Linked DNA regions of Rhinolophus ferrumequinum. Each later gene encodes a partner of the first gene's protein in a complex. Links are inferred from orthologs where the notes say so. Each region holds a gene or a part of one and is shown in the gene's direction. Other genes may lie near its edges.

The links. Proteins that work in one complex are often made in the same cells at the same time.
Region 2: the proteins of XKR8 (region 1) and BSG are in contact, whole or in part, in a cryo-EM structure (PDB 7DCE), measured with the Homo sapiens proteins. The link is inferred for Rhinolophus ferrumequinum from reciprocal best matches to the Homo sapiens genes XKR8 and BSG. Residues at the interface, in NP_060523.2 of Homo sapiens: His232, Leu236, Val239, Leu242, Trp243, Leu246, Gln247, Arg280, Gly283, Arg284, Ile287, Phe291, Ser294, Asp295, Leu298, Ala301, Thr302; in NP_001719.2 of Homo sapiens: Trp326, Pro327, Gly330, Ile331, Glu334, Val335, Leu338, Val339, Ile341, Ile342, Phe343, Tyr345, Glu346, Lys350.

What each region holds. Positions count from the first base shown.
Region 1 is NC_046292.1:19,181,457-19,185,203, forward strand, and holds the start of XKR8 (XK-related protein 8), read left to right. Parts: upstream 1-1,295; 5' UTR 1,296-1,393; coding exon 1,394-1,686; intron 1,687-3,747. Other genes in the region: SMPDL3B (acid sphingomyelinase-like phosphodiesterase 3b), read left to right, coding at 158-523.
Region 2 is NC_046301.1:62,250,504-62,254,250, reverse strand, and holds the start of BSG (basigin), read left to right. Parts: upstream 1-1,481; 5' UTR 1,482-1,597; coding exon 1,598-1,664; intron 1,665-3,747.

The sequences.
Region 1 (3,747 bases):
AGAGGATGTCTGCCACGCACACCTGGTAAGTAGTAAATAATAACAAACAGAGGTCATTATTATGGATATAAAGAATCTGGGGACAAAGGCAAAATGAGGGATTAGGGGTGGAAGTAGACAGCTGCTCATGGCCTGCCTGACCGTGACCTCTTTGCAGAATATGATGACTTACTTCATGAACCTGAGCCAGGCGAACGCGCGCGGAGAGGCGCGCTGGGAGCTCGAGTACAGGGTGACGGAGGCCTACGGGGTGCCCGACGCAGGTGCCCGCTCCATGCACGCTGCACTGGGCCGCATCGCCACCGACCAGGACACGATGCAGCGCTACTACGTCTACAACTCTGTCAGCTACGACACGCGAGCCTGCGGCGAGGTCTGCCGCGCGGAGCACGTGTGCGCGCTGCGCGAGGTGGCCTTCGACGCGTACGCCGCCTGCCTGCGCGCCCCCGGCTCTGGTCCCGCGCCCGTGCTCGCGCTCCTGCTGGCCGCGCTGCTCGGCCTGTGCGCACTGCTCCCGCGGTGACGTTGAGCGCCGCCTGCCCGCTAGCTGTGTTGTCTTCCTCCTGGTGAATTGGGGCCAGCGTCACCTATTGAGAACTGGAATTTTACATCATTTACCCCCGCGTCCAGAGATAAGTGGGATGGGACAGTCAGATCAGGAAATGAAGCTCAAAGACCCCCTCCCCCCACGACGGACATTTCTTCCAAGTTTCACCTTTTATGGGGGAGGGGGGAACGCTCATCGTGCATCTTATTCTGCGTATTATTCCTTTCAATTTGTAAATAATGTTTAAAGCAACTCCTTTACACAGTCACTGAACGTCCTCCTGTCCCTCCATACGGATCTTCAGAATAAAATGAGCCAGGAAGATGCGCCTCGATGATCCTGTGCTCTCCGTCTCCCCAACACACTGCCCGAACTCGAAGCACAATTAGTTCGCGAAGTCCAGCGATCTGCGGTCAGAACAGGCCTTTCTGGGTTTTTTTACGCCGCAGTTCTAGCCCGGGCGCTAATCTCTGGGCCATTTGGGCCGTCTTAGGCCTCCAGGAGCCTCAAGTGCAAAGCAAGAGAATCAGAAGCCTGCTAAACTAAGGGCAGTACACCTTGGACGGCCCGTCTTCGGACCTAGCGGTCCTCGGGGCTCAGCGGGGCTGGGTGGAGGATTCCGGGGAAAGCTGCAGACAGGGCCTGCGGCCTTGCGAGGAAGGGCCTTGGGGGCAGGCCGCGGTCCTCGCTCCTCCCAGGACTAGGCGGGACAGGGAAGTCCCACCCAGCCGGCCCGGGCCCTGGGCGGCTCCGAGGGCTGTGCCCGCCTCCTTCCTGCCGCTGCATATCCCTGCCTGGAGGGCGGTTCCCAGCCCAGAGGGAAGGAGGGAGAGGGGCTGGCGCGTCATGCCCTGGTCACTGCGTGCCAAGCTCCTTACGGACCTGATCCTGGTCATCTGGGGAACCGCTGCCTTCCTGATCAACCTGGGCGCCAACCTGTGGGCCGCCAGCCAGTATGTGCTCAATGGTCGTTATGTGTGGGCCGCACTGGTGCTGACGCTGCTGGGCCTCTCCTCGGTTGCACTGCAGGTCTTCAGCTGGGTCTGGCTGCGCGCCGACCCGCCTGGCTTGCACGAGTCGCAGCCTCCGGGCCGCTGTCTGGCGCTGCTGCATCTCCTGCAGCTGGGATACCTGTACAGGTGAGCGCCCCGCCCTCGGGAGGAGGGAGGGGGAACAGAGCCCAGCGGTACCTCCTGGAGCTGAGCTGCTAGTACAGGTGAGAGCCCTGACACGGAAAGCGGGTAGAGAGGAGAGGACTGGAACACAGGAGAGAAAATTAAGCCTCCGTGGGCATCTCCACTTGCAGGTGAGCTTCCGGTCCCTTAAAGAGAACTCTGGCTGACAGTCCTCGGAACTCATCTAGCCCTACCCTTCCTGGCACAGGTGAAGAAACTGAGGCCCAGAAAAAACAGGGAGGTGCATGATATGGAGTCAGAACTCTCTGGGATTCTGGCTTTACCACCTGTGACCTGGTTTCTGCCTTTCTCTGAATCTGTTTCCTCCTCTGTTAAAAGGAGGTAGTTGTCGCTTCCAGCGCAACACGGGCAGTGAGGGTGCGAGAAGGGGCAGCTTTGGGTTAAGTTTTTAAGAAAGAAACATACAGAGACTTAATGCAGTTAAATCTCAGAAGGCCAGGGGTCTCACAGTCCTGAAAGACTGGAGCCCAGAACAACGCCGACTGGAGGTTTTTATTGATAAGTATACAAGGGGGTAGCAGTGTTTTTGGCATGCTCTGTGGGACTCACTTATCACGTTATAGAAACAACCCAAACCAATTATGTTGATCATAGTTGATCACAGTTGATCACAGCTGAAGCAGAAAGTCCTTGAGGTGAGGTATGCAACTCTTTTAAGGGACGTATATCACATGTCAAAATTGTTTCACAGAGCTGAGCAGAGCTTAATCTTATCACTCTCAAGACTTTTCTCCCAATTAGGTGAGAGGGAAAAGTCAGAGCCAGCAGCTGCTTTTCCCAGGCAGGGGGAAGAGGAGACAAGGCCCCTTCCCAAATCTTTTTAAGGCAGCTCATGGCGGTCTCCATGGGGTTCCGCCTGGTTTGAGTTGCCCCCACCATGGGGAATCTTACTCGTCATTGTCCGCAAACCCTCTTTTGGAGACTAAATAGAGAGAAATATACAGTCCCAGAGATGCACGGTCTCACAGACTATTCTTTCCTTAAGGAAAGACACGGGGGTGGGGGGGGCAGTCTGCTAGGCTGTTGTGTGACAACAGGTAGTAATGTAGAGATAGGTCTGGCAGGCAGGCCTGTTGTGAGGAGTGAAGAAAAGAGCACAGTGCTTGGCTCCTGGTGCACTGTAATGGCAAAGACTTGCAGACAGTCCAGTGTGTTCCTTTTAGCTGCAGAAGGGGCCTTGGGCAAGTCACTGGACCTCTCCAGGTCTCAGTTTACTCCTTGTTTCAGCGAGGATGGTCATAGTGCCTGCCTCTGGTAGGGATTAAATGAAATGAGACCTGTGAATTGAGTGCAGATATCAGCTAGCTTCATAATTACCTGGCTCATACTGGGAGTTTCAACAGCCCTGGCCCCTAGAGCAGTGCTTGTGCCCTCACCGCTGAGTGTCTCTCATCCTTTCTTTCTCCCCCACCCTGACTCCTCCCCACACCCTGACTGAGCAAGAGGGCAGAGATGGGAGTCTGACTTACCCATGTCTCCAGAGCCAGCCAGGTCTGGTCACAGGCTGAATCCTGGAAAATCGGCATGGGTGTTGCTCCTTTCCAGAACTGGCAGGGCCCTCTAGTGATGGGGAAACTGACACTAAAGGGTCAGAGTCATGCAATAAACTCAGGACTCCGTGGGGTCTGGGTTGGGATGAGGTGGCTGGAGCCAGGATCTGCTCTTGAATCCATTTTTATAGATTCTCTCCAGATCTTGCCTTGACAAAGCTGCACTGCGTTTCCAGGAGTGGGTGAGAGAAGCTTTGAATGTTGCAGTTTTGCCCGAGGGGACTGTGCAGGCATCAGTAAAACCCAAGGTGGGCATGAAGGGGCACACTTATTACCATCCAGGTAGGCCTCGATGGGGCCTGAATCTGTAACTACATCATGCATCTTCCCTTCTCCTATTTCTTCTGAGTGTGAGGCATATAGAATGCACTGAGCTTTGTTTTTGAAAATGGGGTCTCTGTACCTGCCTGTGACCAGGCTGAGGCAGAGCCCTGCCATGGCACTGGGGGACCAG
Region 2 (3,747 bases), on another chromosome or scaffold:
TATTTCTAACTGTGGTGCCATTGCAAGGGCAAATGCTGGAATATCAGCCCTGTGCACAACCAAAGCCTTTGCTCTCCTGTCAGCAATCCATTCACAGATGATCTCTTCCAGCTCAGGAAATAATGGTTGCTGACTTGATCCACACTTGCGCTTCTTAGCATTTCCCTCGTCCACCTGTTGACTGAGGTTATTGTACTCTGCTCGCCATTTTCGGACCATTCGGAGATCCAACTTCTTCTCTTTGCAGAAAGCCGGAAGATTCTTGCCCCAGGAGTAATCCACGAGTCCTTTCTTATACTCGACAGAATAGCTCTTTCTCATCTTGTCTGGGGGTCAAAATATTATTCCCTTTAAACGTACCATTAAATCAAGAGTTAATTGAAGACTACGAGACAGGAGTGACAACAAAAATGATGATAGTTAAGAATGATGGTCCACACAAAAGCGGTGAAAAATTGCAGGCACCAAAATTCAGAAAAGGTTTCTTTATTTCACAAGAGTGCATTAAGTACGTCCATTACAATACGCAACGTATTGAATTATGAAGATTCATATTAGACACAACCACGTCTGCTCGTTATCAAGTGCACACGTTATTCGTGAGTTGTGTTTATACTCTGATTGGTCATTCGGCAATAAGTTTCGAGTTCATGTGTTTACATAGGCGTTTACCTCTTATCCGAAGGCGCCCGCTTGGGTATTTACAAATACTTAATTATAATTTATATTATCATTTATTTAAGTATTAATGCCAATAATATTATTTATATTTAATTATATATAAATATTATTTTATAATTCAATACGTCAGTCGTGTGTTGCAACAGACATACTAAATGTGTCCGTCTGGCTGACAATCTTAACTGGGGCTTATTTTTGGGGTAGGGCTTATAATATGAGCATCCTGAAAAAATCATGCTAGGGCTTATTTTCCAGGTAGGTCTTATTTTCGGGGAAAAACGGTAAAACATGGGGACCTCAGGGTAGGTTTTCCAGACAAAACACAGGACTGCCAGTTATGCTTGAATTTCAGATAAATAGCAACAATCAGATAAATAACGAGTATTTTTCTTGCATCTCTATGTCTACACGTTGCACGGGATAGTTACGCTAGTAAATCACTCGTTCCCTGTGTAAAATTCAAATTTAACCGTGGTCCAGGTCTTTTTATTTGCTAAACCTGGCAGCCCCTGTCCCCCCAGGGAACATATCCCACCTGTTCACAAGGATCCCTTAATGTTTTTTTGTTGTGGTAAAATACACATAATAAAAATTGAGCATTTTTGCCACTTTTGAGTGCACAGTTCAGTTCTCAACACTTTCTAAAAGAATGAAAGCCTCGCTCGCATTTCTTAGCAACGTAGCCACGCCCCTAGGCCGCAGGGCGTGGCGCGCCGGAGTCACATGCGCCGCCTTCCAGGCTTCCGTAGAGCAAGCCTGCCAGGGCCAGCGCGTGCGTACGTGCGTCTACACGCGTGCGCAGGCGGCGGCCAGCGCGCCCCGCCCTTGCGACACCGCCCTGCGTGCGCGCGCCCAGCCAGCCCCTTGGATTATTACAGCGCCGGGGGCGGTGGTTGGCGTCGGGCAAGGCGGCGACATGGCGACAACGCTGCTTGTAGTATTGGGGCTCGCGCTGCTGAGCGCTGACAGAGGCACCGGGGCGGGTGAGAACTGGTCGGGCGGGGGCCGTGGGTTCGCCCTCGGGGGTCCAGCCGGGCGGGGGTGGAGGTGAAGCCCCGTCCTCCTAGGGGAACCCGTGAGCTCCGGCGGAGACAGTGCCCGGGGTTTGGGGCGCTCCGAGGACTCCCCGCCGAGGTGGTATGTTGGGAAGCCCCGGCTTGGGGTCTCGGGGATCCGACCAGGACGATACTGAAGTCCCAGATTTTTGGCGGCCTGGGGGAGGGCGGGGTCTGGGAGCTGTTGTGACCCCTGGTGAGGGCACCTGGGGAGGGGATCTGGAAGCGGCCCCCCACCCTTCCCCCGCTGGGGAAGGGACGAAGCGGCTGGGTCTTGGGATCGGGGGCCCAGGGACCTGAGGAAGCAACTTGAGGGTGAGGTTCCCCGGCCTGGGTGTGCGGGGCAAGGGGCGAGAAGGGCCCTCCGGACTCCCTGGGGCGCTTAGCTCTTATCTGGAAAGCGGGCTGTTGTCCTCAAGTGGACGCTGGAAGCAAATGCACTTGAGCGTCCCTGAAGCTGGCGGCCGTCGAACTGGCAGGGATTGTCATTCTTGCTGGGATTTAGGTCCCGACTCTCCTGGGTGTGCATCTGCTCCTGGTGTTCACCCAAACTTTTAAACCCTTGTAGGGAGGCCGACATGCTCTATTGCCTTAGGTTTTGTCTGATTTCTGGGCACAGATAAAACTGGTTTAATCCACCAGCCTCCTTTTACAGGGGTGGAAACTGAGGCTCCGGATGGGAGGGGGATGTTCCAAGGTCACCGTGAGGTCGCCCTGGCCACCCAGTTCAGAGCAGGAAGTGGAAAAGGTTGTGTATACAGACTCTCAAACAGCATTCAGTTTTCAGAGCTGTTAGGAGGAGTGGGCAGGGTTTTAGGGGTGGGCAGATGTGGTTTGGAGAAGGCTCGGGGGGAAAATGGGTTAAGGTGCAGTTTTCCAGGAGAAAGCCTGACAGACGTTTTCTTCCCCTGTGGAGACTTTCTTTCTGGTTCTGGGTTACCAATTTAGTGACCGGCATGTAGGGAGCAAAGTGCAGACGTGAAAGTTTTGTGGCACTGAGCCCTGGAGGGGCTGCCTCTTGTAGAAGTTTCACCGGCTTACTCCTGACCTACTTTAAGATCTCAGTTCGCCTCTTCCTCTTCTTATAATCAAAACGGCCATTTATCGAATGCCTCTGGGCTACCTGTCTGCCCACCAGCGCTCTCTGGAAAGACTTACGTAGGACCCGTAGTCGAAGTGAATTCGGAAGATAAGCAGCTGGGGCCTCGGTGGCTGGAGACAGCCAAGGGGGTTAAGGGACCGTGGTTTCCTCTGCTGTGGCGCACAGCCCCCCAGTGTGCTCCTCGCCTCAGAGCCCCAGCCAGGAAGCCAGGAGGCTCTGTGTGGGTGCAGGTTGGGGGCTTTTCTTGCATGCTCCCTGCATGGGGTTCACTATGCCCTCTGACCCCCTGGGACTCCTGTCTGTTTTGTTTTCCTTTTTTACTTTTGACAGCTCCCCCTTTCCCAGGAACTCTTGAAAATATCTGAAAGTCTTTCAGAGGATGTCACCACATGTTCCTTTTCTCCCTGGGAGGAGTGACTTAGTGACAGTGTTTGCATATTCAGGCCAGCTCAGCACCCCAGGAATGCTCTGGGTGCTCTGCTGGGAGACCCTGGCTATCCCTAGGATTGCCCGGGGTCCTGTCATTCCGGCCAGCACGTTGGGAGGGCATGGGCTTGCCATCTGGGTTCCAAGGGCTGATGACTTGGCCTCTCTGAACTGCCTCCTGGTGGGATGGAGAGGAGGGTGGTGAGGTGGGGAGCCCACGGCTGGTCCCCAGAAATGCTCTTGGCTCCTATCTGGGGCCTGCAGTGCTGCTGTGGGTGGGAGGAGGGTGGGGACCTGCAGCCTCATCCTGATAGCTCCTGGGCAGTTCACCACGAGGCCTGCCTGGCCCTGCTCCCCAGCCTGGCTGCCTAGTGGGCACTGAGCAGGGGTGGCTGTTTTTAGATGAAGGTGACTTTACTTGAGAGCGTGGGTTACAGTCACAGGGCTGGAATGCAATTTTCACTTTCCACTCCCTGTGGATTG